3 linked regions of the Alligator mississippiensis genome follow. The protein of the gene in region 1 purifies or fractionates together with the protein of each later gene. This does not show direct contact. Links are inferred from orthologs where the notes say so. Each region holds a gene or a part of one and is shown on either strand. Other genes may lie near its edges.

Region 1 (7,642 bases):
TGCTCTCCAGGGCTGGGAGGGGACCCTCTGCATGCTGGCTCCCCCAAATCAGCAAATATAGAGAGAATCCCATTAGACTAGAGGGGGTGGAGCTGCTGGAGCCTGCTGAGCCAGGAATGTGGGCCTAGGAGCTAGGGGTATGTTCCCACGCAATCTGGCAGATGAGATATCCACAAGAGATGGGAACAGGGCATTCAGGGTTGCATAAGGAACAACACTCATCCTTATGCAACCCAGTAACTATGAGGCTATAAGGTTTTTCCACCTGCTGACAGGAGGCCAAGCACTGCTGTGCTGATGTCTGCACCCTCCCGGCAGGGCATCTTTAGGTCAGGCAGGTCAAGGAGCAGGGCTGTCTCAGACCCCACCGGGGTGAGGGTGGCGGGGGGGGGGGGGGGTGAGCCCAGTGCCCCCCTCCCCAAGGGGCCAAGCCACAATTCAGGCAGCATGGAACTGCATCTTAACACATCCCACCACAATCATGGCAACTGAGCCAACTTGCAGGGACTGCTTCCAGCCTGGTTAATTGAGAAAACCATCCACCTCAGTCCTCCATGCTCCCAGGACTGGAGCTGAGGGGAGAGAGGCTAGAAGAGACAGAGGTCATGGGCATGGTGGGGCAAACTCTTTCTCTGCAGAGATCTACCGCTTAGGCGGCCACCTCTCAGCTGAGGCCAACCCTTCCCTGTGCGGCCTGCCCCAGCTAGGGATAACGCCTCCGCCACCTCATCACGTCTTGCATCGCTGCCAGGGCCCCTGCTCCCTCTGCTTGCCCACTGCTTTCAGGGCACTGCCCAGAATCAGCCAGGGGGGATGCCACCCCCACGAAGCTGCAAATGACTTATGTGCATGTGTACAAGTGCAGACACATGCACACACGTAGATGTACATGCATGTACACATAGCGGTGCCTGTACACACAGAGGCACATGCATGCACACACGTACAACCCTGTGCCCACAGAAATGTGTGCACGCCTGTACGCGTGCATGCCTGTATCACACATACAAGTGTGCACATGCACAGACATCCACCTACATGTGTATGCGCACATAAAAGTACACGCACATGGCCGCATACACACAGAAGTATGCACACACAAAAGTGCACGCACATATGTATGTACACGCACACACGTACAAGCAAGCACAGAGCTACAGGCGTGTACACGTCCACCCAAGGGGCACAGCCACGCAGAAGCGCACGTACACACATGGGCACACACACGCGTACGCGCGGAAGCACACGCAGGGCCGGCCCGCACGTACCTCGGGCGGCAGGTAGGGCGGGTTGTTGGCCTTGCCGCCCCGGCCGCGCCCGCCCTTCTTCTTCGCCTTGCAGCCGCCGCCGAGGCCACCGCGCCCGCGCAGGGCTCCCCCGCCGCCCCCCGGCGCCGCCGCCCGGCAGCAGCCGCCGAACAGCTCCGACACGCGCGAGTCCATCCTGCCCCGGCCCCGGTCACGGTCCCGGCCCGCGACGCACTGCACTGCCCGGCCCGGCCCACCCGGGCCCTGGCGTCAGAAACAGCCGCAGGGCATCACGGGACACCGAATCCGCAACACCTTCCCCTCCGGACTACACCTCCCGGCATGCCCCGCGCGGCCCTCTGCCGCCACCGCTCCCGGCGGGCCCCGCGGGAGCAGCAGTCCGGAGTGGTCGCTCCCGGCACCCCCCAGCAGCCCCTCTGAGGCAGCGGCTCTGGCGGGCCTACAGTTCCCAGCATGCCCCGGGCACCCAGGCCCCCTGTAAGGCGGCACCCGCTGCGCCAGGGGTCTGATGGGAGATGTAGTTCCGGGGTGGAAGGAAGCAGGCAGGTACTAGCTGACCTTTTGCCCACTTGCCCGGCTACTCAGGCTCCTGGGTGGTGAGGAGAGTATGCTTTGAGTGGCAGAGCCGTGCCGCACCTCAGGCCCTGCACGCATCCCACAGCTTCAGGTATCCAGGTTGTAGCCGTATTAGTCTAGAGGAAAAAGCAACGAGGACTCGTAGTAGAGATGATATCTTTTATTAGACCAACAAGATTTTTGCAATTAAAGATTTTTTCTCTGCAAAAATCTTGTTGGTCTAATAAAGGATATCATCTCTACTACGAGTCCTGATTGGTTTCTCCCACAGCTTCAGCTTCATTCATGGCCGTGTGGAAATACAGAGGGACACAGCTCAGGCAGACTCTGAACATAGGCACTTCATGGTCACGAGAGGGTTTCATACTCCAGGCGAAAGGTTTGGGGCCAAGAATGTCCTGGCATCTCTGCCAACCCTTGCCTCTGCCACTGACTCACAGTGGGGCCTCAGTCATATCACTTGGCCTGGCTACTGCTTGGATTGGATTTCAGCAGGTCTCATTTTTTCAGCTGCCAAACAGGGAGGACAAGTATCTGCTGCCCTGGCAATACTCTTTTAATTAGTGTTTGCACAGCACTTCTTGGGGTGTTGCTGACAGGGCTAGAAATAGTCTCACACAACCGCGCAGGAGCTACTGAACTACAGCTCCCATCAGGCTGTGACATGTGGACTCGTTCCCTTTCCCCCTCCTTTTACCTTGAAGATCATGCCCAAGGAGGCTGGAGACATGCTTTGTTTGCAAACACAGCTGACTGCAACCACACCCTCTCATTGCAGTTTTTCTCCTCCTCCTCCAGGACTGATCTATTACGGTTGGTGGTAACCTGTCTGCCCCAGGGAGGAAGATCAGAAGTCTCCGCCCCTGTTTAGGCACAGCTCAAGTGGAGTCAGCTGTTGCGTGCGACAGCAGCCCAGGCACAAAAACGGCATGTCACTCTCATGACTGCAACATTCCAGCTGTATCTTGTAAGATACTAGCACCATAATTGCCACAACTAATTAAAATAATGAGAGGGATGAAAACAGAGACAATGAGAGGAAGTACGTAGCAGGAAGATCCATGCATAGGTAAGAGATGGCTGCAGAATCCAGGGGTCCTGCCTAGATCCTCTCATCCTTAGCCACATGGCTACACATGGATTTTAAGTCTCACAACATATTTTTTATAGGCAGGAACACAGGTGCTAAATTTATTTTTGCTGAGGGTGGGAGCGCTAAGATGATGGACATCTGATGGTGAAAAGTTTTATGCAGGTGACAGACTTCTTCATTAGGGGGCCAGGGCCCTTGGGCCCCCACATGCTTAGCACCAGGCCAGGAGTCCACAGAAGACCCAAACACACCTCAGTGAAAGCCATATAATACAATCCTAGTCTCCACTTGTGTTTCTTCGCCCACTGAATCTAGGCACAATGACTTAGTCCAATACCTTTTAACCCTGGCACGAGCAAAAACTGCATTTGGCCACACCACAGATGAAGGCAAAAGGTGATGAGTAGGGTGACCATATGTCCAATTGTAGCTGGGACAGTCCCAGATTTCAGGGGCTGGTCTTGACTGGCTGTTGAGAAATGGGTGTCCCAGAAACACAGGGGCTTGGAACGCAGTCTGGGTAGGAGTTGGGGTGGCATGGAGTGATTTGCAGGTGGGCAGTCATTGCTGGCATGGTGACTCGCCCCTGCCAACTTGTGAGAGCACGAGGAGGGGCAGTGTCCCAGATTTCCCAGATGATGTCCAGCATTTCCTTATGGTCAGTTTAGTCAGGGGGTTTCACTAAGCACAGCAAGCGGGGTCCACAATGACATCTTTTCTGCAGACAACCTTTGTACCTGGAGAGTAGCCCTGTGAAAGATTCAGGGCCAGTGTTGTTTTGGTCTGTGATTTGCAATATCTTAGAGGTTACAAGTGGAGCATCCTCTAACCTACCATTTGGGGTTTTTTGCTTTTTAAATGTCCATGTCCACTCGGCAGCTCCTCTAAGGCCCCTGCTACACATTACCTATATTGCACAATTAACAGGTGAATCACACAATACATTCAGGCTGGCCCTTGCACTTAAGGCAGGCCATAAGTGCAAAGGATTTATCACACCATTAACACGAATTGTGCAACAAATGTCAACTGGCCACACATGCAAAATCATTACCACCGGATAAGCATGACTCCAGTTATAAAAGGAGCCAACCAGCTCTACAAGTCAGTGCTTGGAAATGTGTCATCATTCTATTAGGGCCCTGCTATGGGTTGGAACGAGAGCTGGACAGCAACCGGCATGGACTGGGGGCCCATTTCCAAGCACTAACTGGATAGCTGGTTGGCTTCTTCTACAGCCAGAGGGTCATTTTTCTCACAAGCTAATGACTTGGCACCAGAGGCACTGAGTGTGGGGGCCACGGGCCCTGGACCCCTGGGGAAGAGGGCTGAAATGTGTAAAACTTTCCACGAGCCTATCCTCTTTGGCCCACCCCACCATTGCCAGCGCTCATGATTTTTGGCACTGCATTCAGAAAGGTGAAAAACGTGGCTCTTTCTTCTATGGACATTTATATATATGGCTAAAAGAAAGCTCTGTTTTTCACATTCCTGAAGCATCGACTTTAACAACAACGTCAAAAACCCTGAGAGTTGGCAATCCTGCCACCCCACGGTGAAATTAAAAGTCGGTGCCGATGCTTGGCCGGTATGGCTAGGGTACACCTACTGAGCGCTTGACCACGCAATAAGCATCACGTGTGTCAAGGCAGCCGGAGCTGGTTTCTCTCCAACTTTCATTAATGCTAAACCCCGCACCAAGATGGCGGCCGCCCACTCCTTTCCGTCGGGAAGCGGAAGGGCCGCGGCTCCCATGATGCCTCGGGGCGGCGGCCATTCAAATCGGTGGCTGGGGCCGGCGGCGGCCAGGAAATGGCGGTGCCGGGCGGCGCGGGGCGGCCCCGTGACGGTGACGTCTCTCTGCCCCTTGCGGGCGAGCCGGGTCCGGTGTCGGTGGTGTTCCCGGGTGTGGTGACGCGCGAAGGCTGCTGCCGCTTCGCCTGCGAGCTGCTCAAGCACGTGCTGCACCAGCGCCACCAGCTGCCCCTGCCCTACGAGCAGCTGGCCCACTTCTGCCGCCGCCCCCGCGCCGCGCCGCCCCCGCCGGTGAGTGCCCCCCTTCCCCCCTGCCGCACGGGCTCGCACACAGATGGACGGACAGACACGGACACAGGCGCGCGCCCCCCCCCCCCGCCTCCATATAAACCAGGGCTGTAGGATTGCTGTCCGGGTGAGGCAGAGGCCCCTGGGGCCTGTTGCATCTATTGCATGATTCTGTTGGTGACTCGCCCCCTAAATACAGATGGTCTCCTGATGCAAAGCTGTTATCCCACCCACCGTAGGACTCTCCAGCTTATGCCAAGAGCTGCCTTGCCTGCTGTCAAGTTAGTGCTTAGAAATGGGTCATGAATCTTAGGTTTCTATCTGGCTTTTGTTTGAATGTGTAGGAGGGCCCTTGGAGACTAGTGCTGTCAGGTCTTGCAAGATTTTCATGACTTGGTGGTTGCTTTGTCCGAGGTAATCGCTTTCCAGGGCTGAGGCAAAGGAAGGGGCTTGGATCCTGAAGAAACTTGGGATGAAAAAGCCCAGAGGCTTGACTCTCCTGTGCTCTGCTCCTCTCCCCTCCAGGGTGCTGGCACCTGTCAGAGGCCCAGCTGCCTTGTGCTGCTCTGAGAGCACTTAGTGCTGTGTCTTGTATCAAGATGCTCTCCTCCTTTTTCAGATTGTTTCAAGCTTTGTTAGTTAGCAGCATAAAACACCCATGGGGTTGTATTTGAGGCATGTCCTATCCTCTGAGGACGCTGTGCCCTCAAGAGGATACAAGAAACTCTCGCTGTTTGTGGTTTCAAATATTTGTGGTACACCGAGTATTCACCTTATTACAGTGCAAATGCTGAACCTGTATCTTAAATACACTTACAGGAAACCCTTGGGAGCTCTGTGCTTGCTCCTGCTGCCGCGCTCCCGCTGTCATCAGTGCAGCTGTGCCTCCTCCTCCCCTCCCCCCCCGAGGGGGCACGCGCCATTCATGAATGCAGTGCTATATTTGCGGGTTTTGCTATTAGTGGGGATATCCAGAAAGTATCCCCCACAAATGGCAAGGGTCTTCTGTACTTTTATTAGTAACCCAGATATCTGACCTTGTGAGCATAACAGCTTTTAATTATAGTGAAATCTCTGCTGCTTTCCCGGAAAAGCCAAGGAAGGCATCCAAACATCATTGATCTAGAGTGGATAGATTTGAATCCTTTATTTGCATCAGTAGTTGAGGTTTTAAAACAAAACATTTTTGCTAGTGAGGATTCATCCCATCTCTCTGTATTTAGTTAGATGGCTTGACATATGCTTTTTTGGATTTTTAATTTTTTTTTAATTTAAAAAATGGCAAGTAAAGAATTTCTTTCTTTAATCGTACCAAGCTGCACCAATGAAGGTAAACAAAACATTTTAAAATTTGTTAGTTTAAAAAGACAAGCTGTTGTAACGTGCCTTTTTAAAAGGCTTTTTAATAAATGGAGGAAGTACCTGTAATGACCAGGAACAAATTACTTCAACTCGTCTTTCAGGGTTTTAGAACTAGCAGAATTCTCTCCTCTCATTTCACTTTTTATTCATTAATCAAAAGAGGAAAACAAGATTTCTAGGTTTATAAATTCTCAACTTCTTTCTTATCTTTGAATTCAACTAACAATCCTGACAAGAAGGGAATCACTTCTCTGTGCCTGCAGAAAAAGCTACTGCTGTTGAAGATGCTTTAGTACTTCAGTATATTCTGGTTAAAGATGCTTAGCCAGTGACTTCCTCCAATTCAGTGTCACTTGGTAGGAAAAATACTGCTTGAACACTTTTCTAAATGACTTAATAGAGTAGAGTAAAGCTTGGCTTTGATATGGGCTGTTATAACTTGAAGTGTATTTTAAAAATAATCCATTTTTAAGAGAATCTAACTGGAAAAACGGTATATTTTTATTTAAAATGGGGGAGGGGGGATATCATTTACCTTAATGCATTTTTCTATTCTGACAAAAAATAATCCACCGTCAGGTCTTCTGGTTCACAACCAGAATTACGCTTTGCAGTTTGAATTAATAGAAAATGTTTCCTTTTTGTCTGCTTTAAAAAAAAAAAAAGCAGTCTTTTGAAAGAACAGATATAGTAGTGATCCCTGTATAATAGGGACCCCAGATTTTGAATTAGAGAATATTGTAGAATGTGTGTGTTACACAATAGGTTAGCTGCAGTGCAAAGCAGCTCTTGTCTTTGATATGGCCAATTTTAAACAAAGCTGCCTGTACTCCCTTTTTTAATAAGAACTTAAACTTTCTGAAGACCCCCTAAGAAGTAAGGAGTGGGCATGCTTTTTTTTAATTTTCAAACAGACATTAACAAAGATTTCCCGCCACTTGCTCAGAATTACCAAAATCTTTCTTTCAGGTTGAAGATGTGATTAAGAAGCTGCATTCCACAGACTTGGGCAGCAAAAAGTGTCAGCAGGCGTTAGTGGATCTGGAGGGGCTGTTCCAGCATTTGGAAGCCATGTTCCACCTGACGCTAGTCCCCCGGATCCTTATCCTGCTTGGAGGCAATGCCATGAATCCTAAGGAGCTCTATGAGATCAACTTGGAGGGCATCTGTGTGGGTAATGCTGAGGAGAGCCTGCAAACACCATCCTGTGTTCGTAAGCTCTTCCACTCGCTCTTCCTTGCAGATGTCTTCAGTGAATTACAGGCTCTCCCTGTCATGGGCACCACTGTCATGGTCCAAG
Region 2 (7,854 bases), on another chromosome or scaffold:
CGGCACCGGTACAGGAGCGCGGAGGCTGCCCCGATGCGCTGGGGTTCGAGCACGTCAGAGCAGACTTATAGATTCATAGATGTTAGGGGCTGGAAGGCACCTCGCAGCTCATCGGGTCCAGCCCCCCCGGACCTGATCGAGTCTGCTGGAGTGTGGCAATTGCTGTGCTGCAGCAGCCTCCTGCATCTCATGCATCAGTGTGCCTGCACTTAAAAATGGCACTCGAGCGCTTTATGTAAAGCTTGTTGAACAAGCTTTAGTTCAAGTGCCCCTGCTGCCATTTTGAAGCATGGGGACGCTGATACATGAGACATGGTGATGCTTTAAGTGGAGCGGCTCCACTCTAATTAAAGCACTCCCCCTGGAAGGGGTAAAAGTGTCCTAAGTGCTGAAGGCTGCAAGTGGGAGAGGAACAGTGGAAAAAGCCCTGGTCTCACTCAGTTCCCTCTCCCTTTCAGTGTCCCCTCTCTGCCCCTGTGTGACACAGGAGATTGGGTAAGATGGACCTATGGTCTGACCCTGTAAATGGCAATTCTTGCGTTCTGAATGGGCTCCGTAATGGGGATTCCTGAAGACTCCTCCCTGGCTTGCCCCTGGGGCTTTACAGCTGAGGGCAAGCAAAATTGGAGGGCATCCGAACCCCAAACCTCTGGGCTTGGGCCTGTAAGTAGGATGCCCACCAAAGGTTTGGGAAACATCTGAAGCCCCAGATGGGGGTGGGAGATGTTTGCTGGTAGTAGGGCCACTTATGGTTCTGGACTGACTCCCAGATTTGGGATTTGTTTTGGCTAATTTGGCTTGGACTACAGAAAAGTTAAAAAACCCCCCCAAAACTTTGGTGCTGCCACAGTATAAATAGTGTCTAAATATGAATCAACTGTACAGACCCGAGAGTCTCAAAAATAAAACAGTACATCTTCTTAAAAGACTGTGTTGTAGATGAGTGTAGTGATAAATTGGAAGGACTAAAGTCAAGATGGGAGTTAATTATGTGAAAAGGTGGGGTTCTCAAACTTGCAGGGGCTATGCACTAATTGGTTTCCTTGTCTTTTTTTCGTAGTTATCAGAGGTGGACAAGCCCTTTGCTTCTGTGCCAGAGGTTGCACACTGCAGTGGTATGTCTGAAGAGCAGAACTGGAACAGAGCACCGCTGGCTGGCACGGCATTTGAAGGACCCATTTGTGAAGGCAGTGAAACAGCAGAATTATCGTTGCCGAAGTGCCTTCAAACTGCTGGAGATTGATGATAAACATCGGGTTCTGTGCCCAGGGCTTTCTGTGCTAGACTGTGGAGCTGCTCCTGGGGCGTGGAGTCAGGTTGCTATACAGAGGGTCAATGCTTTGGGCACTGGTAAGTGCACAAGCTTAGCTCCCAAATGTAGGAATTAGGCAGTGAAATGCCATAGGTGATGGGATGTTTCACCAGATACAGACTTGGCAATTTCAGGTATCCGGTAGTTGAGAGAGAGAGGAAAAGACAAAAGGTCAGACAGGCAATCACTTGGAAGAGTGGAAATGCTAATGTCCTCCAAAAGGAGTACAAAGGGCCACAGCTATTTTAATCTAGAAAGAGGAATGGGCCAAATGATGCCAGCCTGCCATAGCAGACATTATGCCTAAGAAATCTAGGGCAGATGGGCAAAGGAATTTTCACTGGTGTGTGGGAAAGGCAAATACATGTGAAGTTTCTAGTTAGGATGCGATGAGAAATCTAGGGACATAAAAGACTGCAAGAGAGGATGTCTTTGCATATGTCAAGTGAAGCTGTGTTGGAACCAGCCAGCATAAGCCTTTACTGATCCTTGGGCATAGCCTTATTGCAGGTACTTGATCAATATTTATGGTAATCTCATGGTGTGGGTGCGATTTTTGCTGAGGATTGTAACACCACTGTCTAACATGCAGTTAATGTTTTGTTAGAGTGTTTGTTTAAAGTCACTGTACAACTACTGTTGGCCTTTGGATTTAATAAAAACATTTTGGCTCAATTGATGACTGGGTCATCTGAGTTCCAACACCAAAGGAAGTAGCAGACAGTGCTGACTTGACCTGGAGTTTGTGGAGATTGTCTTCTTTCAGTAGAATCAGGGATGGTGTAGATAGTTTAGTTGCACTTCAGTGTGTCTTGTACTCAGCTTAGTAATTTAATTATATAAAATTTAAATCAACTACAAACTTTAGATTTTTTGTAGCCATGCTGGGAATAGAAAGGAAATACTTCCTTGGATGAGCACATGACGCCTTCTCTAAGGAGTAAAAACCTGGGAAGAAATGTATTGCAAGGGGGACTAAACTTTTACACTGAGCCACAGTACAAGGGATGGTCATTGAGAGGGTAGAGAATAGGGCTGGGAAAGAGATTTTGTCTCCATCCCTGAGGGCAATTTGTGTCTGTGATCTCAAGCAGGTAATTTAACTTCTCTGCCTCTATTTTTGTTTCTGAAAAATGCCCATGGGTGTTGTGGTTTAATTTGTTAATGTTTGTAAGGTGTAATAGGGCAAGTTTTGTTGTTATTGGCTGAGTGCAGAACTGCCCTGCTGCTGATATATCTGGTATAGATTAAAACTCTGGGATATAGATTTTTTTAAAACAAAAATATTTATTCCAGGTCACTGGGTCTTGGTGGATTAACCAGGTCAGCACATTGGTCATGGATGAGGTAGATTGTACTTTGTCAACACATGATGTAGGTTTATACATAGAGTACTGAGCTACTGGATACATGCATTATTAGCAGCATTTGTAATAACCTTGATCAGTTTGAAAGCAGGGGCCTGTCTTGTGTTTTTCATTCTTTCATTAACATTTTGTTTCCTAGATGCCAATGCCCCTGTTGGCTTTGTCCTTGGAGTTGACCTCCTGCGGATTGCCCCTCTGGAAGGAGCAGTTTTCCTCTCCAATGCTGACGTGACAGATCCAAGCACGCTTAATAAGATCCAGGAGCTGCTTCCTTCAGGGAAAGCAGATGTTATTCTGAGCGACATGGCACCTAATGCCACAGGGATCCAAGAACTAGATCATGAGAAACTGATTAACTTGTGCTTATCTGTTCTGGATATGTCCTCAAGCATCTTGCAGCCAGGGGGGATCATGCTCTGTAAATTCTGGAATGGAAGAGATGCCCAACTTCTCCAAAGCAGGCTGATGGAGCACTTCTGCAACGTAAGAACTATAAAGCCTCAGGCCAGCAGGAAAGAATCTGCAGAATCCTATTACTTGGCAAGAGGGTACAGAAAGACTGTGAAAAACTGATTATGTCTGCCTTTCTCGCATGGGTTGTCAGTCATTGATTGGACGCTGGGACTTGGGGTAGACCTAAAGAATTATCCATTTAAACTCTTACGTTTTGGTTTTTTTGTTAATCCTACTTTGGGAGAATCTGCCATTATTTATATTGTGCCATAGATATCCAAAGCAAGACAAGGTTGCTGCTTCACTGAGCTGCTATTCTAATTATACCAGCAAAAACATCCAGTCTTACTCCGACGTGGGAGGAGGCTGTTGTGAATGGCATGCAGTGGCATGAAAGTCCACAGGGATAGAGTGATGGAAAGAAAAATAAAGCACTGGTTATAGTTTTGTTGATGTGTGTGTTTTAAAATTACTACATTATCTTTTTAGTTATATTTGGAATGGAGCATCGAGTCAGTTGCCATAATGGGAGTGAAAAGGAAGAGGACTGCCAGCCAATTTTATGTGCCCTTCATCTTTTCTGAAGGCTATTGCAATTTATTAGAACATTTAGAAAATACATAATCATTTAATGGATCTCAAAATCTGCACTGTCATGTAAATCTGTAATGGGGCATTCAGAATATATGACTGTGATCACAGAATATTACAAGTTGATGGTTGTGCTGAGTTATTACCAATGCATGTGCCATGGTCACACTATATTTAGAAACTGCTATTTCATCAGATTGCCAGTGTATTACAATAGAACAGGTTCAGTGCCACGGATGAGGTCATTTTCACTCCTATTAATAGGAAGGCCCCTATTAGATCAATGACGCAAGGTGTTATTAATCTCCAGTAAGGAAAATGGTACTGGCAAATTTTTGCCGTCTGGTAGTGGCTGGAATTTTGTTTGTTGGAATAATTTCTGCACCTATTCATTTATTTTTTTTTAATTATTTTTGAAAATAACTATTTTGATCCTCAAGCAATCTGTTCTTTACACTCCCTGTCAGTGGGCCTTCAAGCTGGGGGTGGTAGCACCACTTTTTTTTTTAAGGTTGCCTAATGTTTCTGACTTAAATCCCATTTTATTTTGTTGTTACCAAATTTACGTTGCCCAATTGCATGCATGTGGCCTGAAAGTTTCCATGTTGCAGGGCTGGTTTCTTGCAGTCACAGCAACGAGCTTGTCAGAGTCGCTCGTGGACCAAATGCATGCAATCTGAGCAGCCAAATGACTTGCCCTTGGGCTCATGGGACCTCTGCTGCCAAGCTGGAGGCTTGACTTCCTCTCCTGCATTACGGTGCTTCATTCAATCCAGCCTTCTTCCCTGTAATAAAGGAAGGGTTTTTGAACCCAAAAGCTTGCTTAATAACTATTCTCCAACCATTTGGGTTGGTCTGATAAAATATATCAAATTCACCCAAGGAACCTTGTCTCCCTGTAATAAAAGCGTTTGATCTCCCTTGTATGATGCTGTAGGGACACCCCCCCCCCCCCGCTCCTCCTCCCTCTATAGAGTGATCACTTTGGGAATTAGTCGCGTATACTCTCAGTATTACGGTAGGAGAGCGCTCGGAACATCCTCATCCCAGCTTTACGGTAGAGGGCGCCAAGATCTCGCGGGAGGTGTAGGCGAGTTCTCGCGGGATCTCGGCGCCGGGCCGAGGAGGGAGATCCAAGCCGGAGACGGCGGTGGCGGCGGGTGAGCGAGCGCGCGCGGGGCCGGGCCGGGCCGGGCGGGGCTTCCTGCCATCCCAGCGAGCCAGTGCAGCGCCTTGCCTCAGTGCACTGCACGTCTGTGCCCCCCCTCCCCCTCCCGGTGCCTAGCATGGCCCCCCAGTGACTGCATTGCTGTGCCCCCGCTGCAGCCACACCCATGCAGTGTAGTGTAGTGCACTGCACGCCTGAGCCCAGCCCCCTCCCTCCTCACCCCGCTGTTGGGGGGGCGCCGCTGTGTCCCCCCAGTGGCTGTGATACCCGCCTCCGTCCCAGCTGCGCCCGTGCCTGCTTTTAGCAGCAGTTGCTAAACTTTCTCTGCTGCTTTTTAATTTGGAAACACGAAGGGGCGCTGGTGCTGGGAAGATCCACGCCCCCCGCCGCAGCGCTGCGCTGGGGCAGCCCAGCGGGCTCCTCCGCCGGCGTGTGCCCGGTGTCGCTGGGACCGTGTTGCCCTGTGCGAACGCTATGAGCCGAGTTTATTTGTGAGAAGCGTTGAGGGTATTTTCAAACGAAGTCAACGTGCCCTTTGACATCTTCATCCTATCCTATACTTGTAACGTTTTCAAAGGTACGTAAGTGAGTTAGGAGCCAAAATTTCCGTTATGAAAGTGACTTAGGCACTTGGGGAACTCAGATTAAATGAAAGTCAGCGAATGTTAGGGTTTAAATTCTTTTGTGAAAATGGGCATTAGGGCCCAGTATAATTTAGGTGGCAATATTTACTACTAGTTTGGATGCAGATCAGGTGGTCTCTCCTATCCCAGTCTGTAGTTAAAAAGCACTGAGAGGAAGCATTAGAAATGCTTTCTATTTGCCAATGTTACGTTCCAAGGATATTCTTGTCTCCAGTATTTGCCTTCTGCTCTTCTCTGTGTTATGTAGGATGAATACTGTGGAAATAGATGCTGCTTCCCCAAGCAGCGGAAGTGCCAAGGTACAGATTGTGGCCCCGTAACTCCAGTCTAATTAAATGCAGGGGGAGTTTTGAATGTGTCAGTGTGTGGTGCCTTCTGACCAGTGGGTTAAAATTGTGGGGAAAGATGTGTTGAAATAAATGATACTACTGAGAACCACGTAAGGTAAGGGGTTGTACCGTAGTAGTCTGAGTTGATGTCACAAATCTACAAGCTTTTTCTTGGTGCTTTGTGGATCAGCGGAGGCCCCAGTAATGGCCTGTGAATCTCAGCTGTGGCTGACAATTTTGGCTTTGCACTCTGTAAATGAGAAGGCTCTAGGCTCCATAGGAACCCAGGAAGGGGATGCGTTTTGTAACAGCAGTGAGTAGAGAGTAACTTGCCCTGAATGTTTCACTTGTATGTTTCCAGGGAGCCATGGAAAACCTGGAAGATAATACAACTGTCTTCTCCACTTTGAGGTCTCTCAACAACTTCATCTCACAGCGCATGGAGGGGACATCTGGCTTGGCCACTCCAGGATCATCTCAAAATACCTTGCATATGCAGTACCAGCAGAGGGTACAGGTGAGACACTCCTGGCTCGCTGACAGCAATAAGTGTTTGCAGTGTCAGTGAGAGTTCATGTGATTCTTGGGCTGTCCACTTGTTCATTTAGGTGATTGTGCCTGTTATCTATTTAACTTATTCTCCTAACAGTGTCAATAAAGGAGATATTTTTAAAGGTGCAAATTCCTAAGTCCTTAATTTTTTAATATGTTTGTTAAGGACATGATTCTTTATCTTGGTAAATATTCAAAGAGGTCCTTTGAGTTTCCTTCCTGTAGGTTATCTGCAGGCCAAATTAGGATGGTAAATTGTGAGGTGGTTTCATCCCACTCCATCATAAGCTTAAATGGATAGTTTACAGGCAACCCCCGCTTAATGCTGTTTTGCTTAGTGCTGTTTTGCTATAATGCTCATTTTAAATTGATACCTGATTTTGCTTAGTGCTCAGCGAGTTTCATTATAAAGCTCACGGTCGCTGTTTTGGGGTCATTAAAAACAGTTGCGGTTGCCATTTTGGGTCATCAAATACTTGTGATTTCGCTTAACGCTTAGTTTTTCAGGAACCAATTAAGAGCGCTAAGCAGGGGTTGCCTGTACTTGGGATGAGGGCAACCACTTTTCCCAGGTCATCTGCAGAGAACCCAGTGGGAGTTAAGTAGCTACTTTGTTCCCATCTTTTTCCTTACACAGCTGACCAGTCTTGTTTCTCTGTTGTCCCTTGTCTGTCTGTATCTTTTATCTTATTCTTAAATTGTGAGCTGGCTTTGGGCAGGGGCTTCCCTTTTGTTATGTATTTGTACAGTGTGTAGCAGGCAGGGGCTGCCTCCTTATTATGCATTTGTACAGTATGTAGCAAGGTGACCCAACTTGCCTGGGGAACATTGCTGTTATTCACTCAATTTGCTGAACTCGCTCCATTGAGGACGTTCATATGGACAAGAAACGTAGCCCAAGAAATGTTAATGTTTCATTCGCTAAATTACTCACGGAGAGTATGGTGATAGGCACTGTACAATGCCTAATATATATTAGACCACTGTCACTTAAAAGTTTCTGTGTTCCAGAGTTTGATGTGGTATTCTGTTAAGTCTGAGTGTAAAGTATAGATGCATTGATCTTTATTTAACCCTCCATTGCATTTCAAATTCTAGCTAATTTTCTGATTTCTGGATTCGTCTTTTAGTTGTGCGTTGCTGGTTGCGGAAAATCTGTATCCCAGCTTTTTGATTGAACATATGTTCAGTTTGAAGATTTCCTACAGACAAAATATTCTGTTACTCCCTTGCATACTGTCCTGGTAGTAATTTTGCATGAAGCATGCTTTCATCGAAATAAAACCAAAGATTGTGCCAGGTACCTCCAGGTGCACTCCAACTTGCTACCTTGCTGAGCACTTAGATCTCTGATTCCTTAGCTACGTGGTGTTTCTTCTTTGAGACAGCCAAGAGGATCTGTAGGTAACTTTGTTTTGTTTCAGAATATGATTGCTTG
Region 3 (7,399 bases), about 12 Mb from region 1:
CTGGTTCTAGCATTCAAATTAGCTTGTTTAAAGTTATCTCAGATATCTTTACTTGACTGTTTGTGGGGATAGTACCTAAAATAGGTAGGATCCCCTTTTTGTAGAGTTTTACAAATTACAAACAAAATGTTGAATTGCAGTTAGATGTGGACAGGAAACCAGTGCAGCCTCAGAACACAGATGTAACAACCACATGAAATTCCTGACATAGCCCACCACTTCAGCATTTCCTCTTTACCCTCAGGCGCAGCCTTTGGCAAACTGCATGGGGAGATTTTAGGATCCATTGTTTCTACTTTACTTTTAACGCATTCTTCTGTAGAGGCATTTCCCTTGCCCTTGCAGAAGGATGGAGAAACAGCCTACTTTCTGTTCTGTTTCCGTCTATCCCCTCAACTGTGGGGCACTCTCATGGTTAATGATCACCAGCTCAACACTGTAGGTGGGTTCCCTCCAAATACTGAGTAGTTGTTCATGGGCTAGGGAAGGCATAGGAGAAACTGTCAGAGGCGATGCTGCTTTGGAAGCATGGGCTGTGAAAGTACTTTTGGCACCTTGCAGAATCAGACTGGGGACATTGACACAGTCATGTCTGTCTAAAAATGTTTACCTGCAATTAATACCTGAAAATATCAAAGTTAAAGACTGAAGGTGGAAAAACTTTGTTTCAGTCTGTTGATTTTCCCAAACAGGTTTTGTGATTTGCACAATCGTTTACATAGCAACAGGAGAAAGAACAAGAGAAACCTAAAAAAACATATGAATGTAAAACCATATACATTTGCAGTGGGGTTCAGGGAAAAGTGTGTTAGTTGCTCTGACTTGCAAGATGTCAAGTTCTTGATGTCCCTTTAACTCTTTGAAATAACTATTTAACATCTATATCAGCAGGTTAATTGACAACATAGAATTGAATGAAAATTCTGCCAGAGGACTAGTTCTCTACTCCAGGTCTGACAAGTCTCTAAAAGACTTACTTTGAAACATTTATTCTCCAAATGAGATTGGAACTGGAAATCTCCACATTTAACATTAAGTGTATGCCTTACTAGTAAGATTAAGCTGGTTCCCTCCAAGGCTTACATTTGTTAAAAAGTACAAGATGTCCTATTGAAAATAAACTCTCCATAGCTGATTTATAGAGGAAAAAGAATGAACAGTTCAGAAATAAAATCTCCACTTGAGGTCAGAAATGTGCTGCAGTTGCACTGTTCTGTGCAGTTACATGGTATCTAATGAAACTGAAAAAGAATAATATCTTAATAGGATTAAAACCCCAAAATTCTAACGGCTTTGTTTAAAAACCTGTATTCTGACAGTTCTGTGACACTACTGTAGTTCTGTAGTGTGACTGATTTTAATTTAAAGCATAGGTATTAGAAAATAAAGTGATGCATAGGATGATCTGATAACGAAAATATTAATTCACTATTCTAATGTAGTACTGTTTGCACCTAGGTTTTCATAGAACTGGAGGCCTGGAAAGTAGAAAACTTCTCTGAATATAAATTTGAATATGAAAGTGAGTATGACCTCTGTATTTACTTTCTGTTAGTGCTAAAGAATCCAAACTTTACTAGTGTGAATATTTGTAAAAGTAAACTTTTTCTATCAACTCTTTGAGTTTAAAAGGAATTATTTTGTGTTCAACTACAATAATCACACAGCATATTGGGTATTAAGCATATAGCTCATACAATGCAAAATTAATTTGTATAGTCAAAGGGGCAACTTTAAATGTTGATTTGTCAGTTGCACATATATACTGTTTTTTATGGGATGTAGGTATGGTTTATTGGCAGGGGAGTAAAAGTGTTGAATTATGTATCAACTATAATATTTGCAACATGACACTTATACTATACTACTTTGTTCCTAATGGCATGTCTCAATGAAGTTTGGTGTGTCATTTTTGCTAATTTTCAGGATTTTTATCATGTGTTTTGTTATTGTGTCTATTTTCTGTATTTTGTAAAACTCCAGCATCCAAGATTTGTTAGATTAGGTTAGAATCTTGATTTGTGTGGTTTTTTTTTTAAATGTAAACTTCAACATGTAAAAAAATAAAGACCAAGTCAGAAAGTGAATCTCTGATTTTTTATTTATTTTTTTTTAAACCTGACTTAATTACTTGGAAGCCTAGCTCCTTGTTTCGGATGACTGAAATTGGCACTACTGTTTGTGTGCATAAACTAAATAAGTAAAATTAAAAGTGTAGCCTCCTTGGCAGTCTGGCTATAGAGGTAAAATATTGGTTAGGCTAGAGAATGGACTCCATGTGAGCCCAGACAAGTGTCTTAAACTCTCTAGAAAGTCAAAGGAGCAGAGCTTCCAGTGCAGTTGATTGCAATATTTCTAGATGCAGAAAGGACTTAGGGTTTTCTGCAAATACTTGGAACAGCATTTTAATTCAATTTAAAGGCAGAAGTGTGTGTGCATGTGTGTGAGAGAGAGTTGCTTAATTACTGGTAATAAATAAAATGCAAGTTACCCAGTACATTTTGCTGTCTTTTTCACAATGTACTTCTGCAGAGATGATTAAAAAAAACAACATTGTTTAGGCTTCCTGATTACAAAATTTTCTAGTTACTTTAATGTACTCTTGTGGTAAAGCTGTGGTAAAGGGGACCAAAACATTATTGTAAATTTTTAATAAATTGTATTTATAATTGTATTCCTTATTTAATAATGTTTAGTATAATCCACTGTGTTTCATTCAAAGATGTTTGTGCTCTGTGGAGTGAGATGGGCCCCAAGTATTCTCTTTTAGCTTGTAATATTGTTTTTTAAAAGGTTACTTTACCTTTTATAGAAATAATTTTTGATCCTAGGGCAAAAAGTTTTAATGTTTTTATTAGTTATATGTACTTAGCAAAAATGTCTTAAAATGAAACTATAACTATAGTTCTCAATGTACCATGCCTATATGTGACCACCCTCACCCATAAAAGCAAGAGAAAGAAAGAAGCTTATTTCATTTCTTTTTGAAGATGGAAATGATTATTTATTTCCATGTTTTAACTGTCTGTTCCTTGGAGGCTGGGTCAAATACCAAGGCTTTGATCTTAATTTTTAAAAACAACTCATGGATTGGCCTGCATTTACCACCTAGTTTGGGTCTTTGCTAGTTATTATTGTTAAAATGGGAAATCTCAAAATGTAGTCTGGGCATAGGGACTAAATATTTTGTTAGTTGGCCCGTGAGCCTACAGACAGAAGTACTGGGTTATTTGATGCCGTCTTGCCTATGCTGTCAATGTTGCTGCCATCAAATGAAACATCTGTAGTTGGAGTATAGGCAGGAATCAGGTGTTTCTAATACAAACGTCTTTAAATGTAAAAGTTGTGGGAAATTTCTGGCCACCAACCAGGACAGTGATTCTCAGCCAGACTGCTGCCAGATCCTTTGAGGTGATATGCAGATAAAGGCAGGCTCATGCTCTCCCTGCCTGGCTGCTCCTCCATCCACTTTGAGGAGGTAAGCACTCAATAAGTACATTCGTTTTTTCAAATGGGTTGCCACCCGATTCACAAAAGTTACAGAGGGCTGCCTCCAGTCTTAACAAGATAGTGTTGTTGATCCAGGCTCTAACCTCAGCTGTGGTTTGTGCTTGTTACCATACTGCCACTCGTTTCCTGTTTGCTTGTTTAACTTAAGGTCAAAAAAAGCCCTGGGTGACTGCCTGGTTGATTTAGGTAAGGCCTCTTCGGTTCTGCATCCAGTGGGGTTAGGCTATCTGGCAGGTTAGCCCCACGTCCTTCCCAAGTGCTCCTCCCATCCCCTTCACCCCTCTGCTCTGCTATCTTCTCCCTGCCCCTTCTGCTGCTCTATCTGCTCCCCTGCCCCATGTGACCTGCTGCTTCCTGCCTTGTCTGCTGTCCTGCTTTCTACACACTGCCTCCTCTGCTACTCCCCTGCCTCATCTGCTCTGCTGCCCTGCTTTCTACATCGTCTGCTGCTCTGCCATCTGCTCCCTGCCTGTCTGCCGCTCTATCCGCTTCCTGGATCGGGGGAGCGACCAATTGTCTCCCTCTGCCCCATCTGCTGCTCTATCCGCTCCTCGCCCGTTCGGCTGCTCTGCTTTCTGCTCCCCGCGGTTCCCCTCCTCAACCAGCCCCCCACCCCGCCCGGCTCCCCGGGCTGGAATCCCGAGCGTGCGCGCGGACCAGGGCAAGCTGCGGGCGCGCGAGCTGCGACCGGGACAGCGGGGGCGGGGCAGGCGGGGGCCGGGAGAGGGTGGAACGCGCCACCTCCTCTCAGCCAATCCCGTCCCTCGGCCCCGGCTGCTAGCCAATCCCGTGCCGCGCCGAGCTATTCAAACCGGCGCGTGGGCCAATAGCGGCGCTTGGCGCCGGGCGGCCCGCGGGGAGGGCGGGGCCGGGCCTGGGACGTCGCGCGCGTCCCTAACCGTCGCTCTGGGCGGTTGGTTGTTTGGTGCTGCTGGGCGCGCGCTCCGCCGGCTCCGGCTCGGGCTTCTCGCGCAGGTGGCGGCGGCGCAGGTGAGCGGCGGGCTCGGCTCCCCTCCCCTTCCTCGCCCCCACCCCTAACCCTACCCCTACCCCCGCCTCCCGGCAGGGGGGAGCGGCCAATCGCCTCCCTCTGCCCTCTGCGGCCTGCGCCGCGCTCAGGCGCTGCTCCCCGTCCCGGGGGCCGGGCCTCGGCCGCCTCCTCCCCCGCCCCGCCCGGGGCTCCGCTCCCCGCCCGCTTTGTTCGGCCCTTTCGGCGCCGCAGCCCGGGGGGAGGGGCAGTCCCCCCCCGAGGGGGGTGGGGGGAAGAGCTGGACGAAGCCTTGCCTGGGATGATGTAGCTGGGGATCGCCCTGCTGCCAGCAAGGGAGTTGGATTAGACGTGACCTCCTGAGGTTTTGTCCCTTCCATTTTCTATGGTTTTGTATAACTGGTGAATTGTGTAATACATTGAGGCTAGCCACGGGTGCCAAGTAAGGATCCCACAATCAAAAGGACTCTTCGCTATCTTTAAAAAGTGCCAACCAACTCTAAAGTTGTTGCGTAGCAGGTTTTTATCTAGCTGTAATTGGCAGGTGTAGTAGGGCCCAGAGTCGGACAGGCTTGCGAGTGCAAGGCGTTCTTCCTCGGGTCTCCCAACTTTGTCCCAGGTCTCCTGGTGAAGACTCTTTAAACAGTCCTCGTGTGCTGGGAATGATGTAGTCTGTGTCAAAGTTGGGCACAGCTTTGTTTTTATAGAATTGGGGCTGAGTAGTAAATAATACTCATCGCAGGTGATGCATTAGGAAGCTAGTCTGACTGTCCCAACTACATAGTTGGTCCTATAACGGAAATCACTTGAAGAAGTCCTCGCTGCTTTATTTCTTGCCAGATGTTAACATGTCTTTCTGTGTGGTTTGCATCAGAGAATCTTTGCTGACTCCTTGCATGTTAGTCATGCCTTTACCAGACTGGTTCATCTGTCCATATTTACAAGCAAAAGAGATTTGGCATTCCAGTAAAAATGTTGTTTTTTGCCACGTGCCTTTTAAAGTTTTTGGTGGATATATAAACATTTATAATCTGACTTAATAATATTAAAAGAGTATTCTACTGTTCTGAGCAGAAATTTAAAAAAAGTTCATTGCTTGGGGTTTGTTTTTTTTTTAAAGTTGTGCCTTATTGAATCTCTAATGAGCACATTTTTGACATTGCATAAATAATACCATACTGTAATTGTGGAAAGCAGTAGGCTGCTGTCATGATCAGGTCTGTAGTTTTTCTAGCCTTCATTTGATGCTGGCATGGAATGGATGATTGTTTACTACTAAGCCCCCCAGTCCTACAAAAACTTAGATGTGTCCAGCTTTGAAATGAACTAGATTCTTCACAGTACCTGGTGACTGTTTAAAGAGCGGGATGTGAGAGTCCCTTTGTGTTATGAATTTAGTATTAGAAAAAGCTTTTTTCTTTCTAAAGGATGGATACAGTATTACTTATTTGCTTTTAAGTCGCACTTGGACTGCATCTTACTGTGCAGCCTGTGGGGCATGGTTCCTGTTCTGAAAGTGCCACTTTCTAAAATACAAAGTACAGTGTGAAGATCAGTCACCAGAGAACACACGGAGCAAGTGCATATACAAGTGCAACTCCACTAGTACCAGCAACAGTTAGAGCAGTAGCGCGGGGGAAATGCTTTGAATGCTGAAGCTCTAACTACATTGGTTTACTGTTTAGTCAAGTGATGTTCACATGATGGTAAATGCCAGTGAGTGCATTGCTTTTGTAAGATAAGTGGTCAGATAAGTTATATAAATAACAATGATCCTAAAATTGTTCTTTATAGCTTGTTCTCATTGAATGAATGCAGAAGTTCTCCCTTAGATGTCAGTAGCTATATCTGGTAGAACAGTTGGCAATTTTCTCCTTATCCCTGTGCTTTTATTTGCCTTTTCTTATGTGCAGATGGCTTCCTTTTCTGGCGCACAGCATGATGCATCAGTGTTCAGCTCTTCAGAGTTTGGCCTCCAAACTCTAAGGGGGTTCCTTTGGAGTACTTCCCAACTCTTTTAGACAGGAGTGGCTATTTCTTTAGGTTATTTTTTTCTCCTTTTAGTTGTATACATCTGTCCTGTTAGAGAGATGGGCTATTGAAGAATAGTGAGGGAGGTCAGTATTTTTGGAAGCATTTTCAGTGTTCTTGTGGAGAAGGGGTTGTAGCTCCTTCATCACTCCAGAGCAGCAGTGTTGCAGTAAAACTTTAGCTGCTTATGAATATAATTTTGTTGGTAGGGCTCTTGCATTGAAAACTGCAAGCTAGTGTTTTCCTGTCGCTTTCTATCCTGACTAGTGTAAAGTGTAACCATTAACAACTTGTCCAAGGGAGGGCAAAAGGTGTCCTCTTATGTGGGACTTCATTGTCTCTGGGTTACTTCACTAATAGGTCAGCCAGCAACTCGGTGACAGTTTTTCCTTCTAACTGGGTCTGAAACTTTAGATTGTGCTCAATTTATGGAGCATCCACAGCTTAGTCAAGCATTACTCAATCTTTTTGAGTTATCATCAGCTTTGGTTTCTGAACTCTCATTGAAATGGTTGAGTGGTAGGGAAATGCAGAAAATCAGCCTTATACATTCAAATAAATTGGACTTTGAGTATGTGAAGTCAGTTAACAGTTCTTTTAGAACAGCCTGAGGAACCCATTTACTGAATATTGGGGGATCTGGTGACAAAAACATGCCTTGAAGCATGTTGAATAAAATGTCATAGATATGCAGTTATAGATAAAGAGTACCCAGTATACATGTGTAGGCCACAATAATTGATACCTCCTGCTTTACTGAAACATTTCAGAGCTGTATACTTAAATTGTTAGTTTATGGTGAGCTTGCTGCTTGAAATGCATGATTTTAAACTCAAATATAATTCTTAAATAAGATTATATTCTTACGAC

What was found.
Region 2: the proteins of MAD2L1BP (region 1) and MAD1L1 purify together in Homo sapiens (co-immunoprecipitation; 4 studies listed by BioGRID and IntAct, with this or other methods). This does not show direct contact. The link is inferred for Alligator mississippiensis from reciprocal best matches to the Homo sapiens genes MAD2L1BP and MAD1L1.
Region 3: the proteins of MAD2L1BP (region 1) and LBR purify together in Homo sapiens (co-immunoprecipitation; 3 studies listed by BioGRID and IntAct, counting the BioPlex papers as one, with this or other methods). This does not show direct contact. The link is inferred for Alligator mississippiensis from reciprocal best matches to the Homo sapiens genes MAD2L1BP and LBR.

What each region holds. Positions count from the first base shown.
Region 1 is NC_081824.1:168,617,730-168,625,371, forward strand, and holds the start of MAD2L1BP (MAD2L1-binding protein), read left to right. Parts: upstream 1-4,634; 5' UTR 4,635-4,749; coding exon 4,750-4,983; intron 4,984-7,311; coding exon 7,312-7,642. Other genes in the region: GTPBP2 (GTP-binding protein 2), read right to left, coding at 1,269-1,442. UniProt on the Homo sapiens protein: May function to silence the spindle checkpoint and allow mitosis to proceed through anaphase by binding MAD2L1 after it has become dissociated from the MAD2L1-CDC20 complex.
Region 2 is NC_081836.1:51,118,647-51,126,500, reverse strand, and holds the start of MAD1L1 (mitotic spindle assembly checkpoint protein MAD1), read left to right. Parts: upstream 1-4,797; 5' UTR 4,798-4,883; intron 4,884-4,921; exon of another isoform or gene 4,922-5,468; intron 5,469-6,225; 5' UTR 6,226-6,231; coding exon 6,232-6,381; intron 6,382-7,854. Other genes in the region: MRM2 (rRNA methyltransferase 2, mitochondrial), read left to right, coding at 1,061-1,350, 2,819-3,252. UniProt on the Homo sapiens protein: Component of the spindle-assembly checkpoint that prevents the onset of anaphase until all chromosomes are properly aligned at the metaphase plate.
Region 3 is NC_081824.1:180,570,179-180,577,577, forward strand, and holds the start of LBR (delta(14)-sterol reductase LBR), read left to right. Parts: upstream 1-4,391; 5' UTR 4,392-4,500; intron 4,501-4,786; exon of another isoform or gene 4,787-4,862; intron 4,863-7,399. UniProt on the Homo sapiens protein: Catalyzes the reduction of the C14-unsaturated bond of lanosterol, as part of the metabolic pathway leading to cholesterol biosynthesis.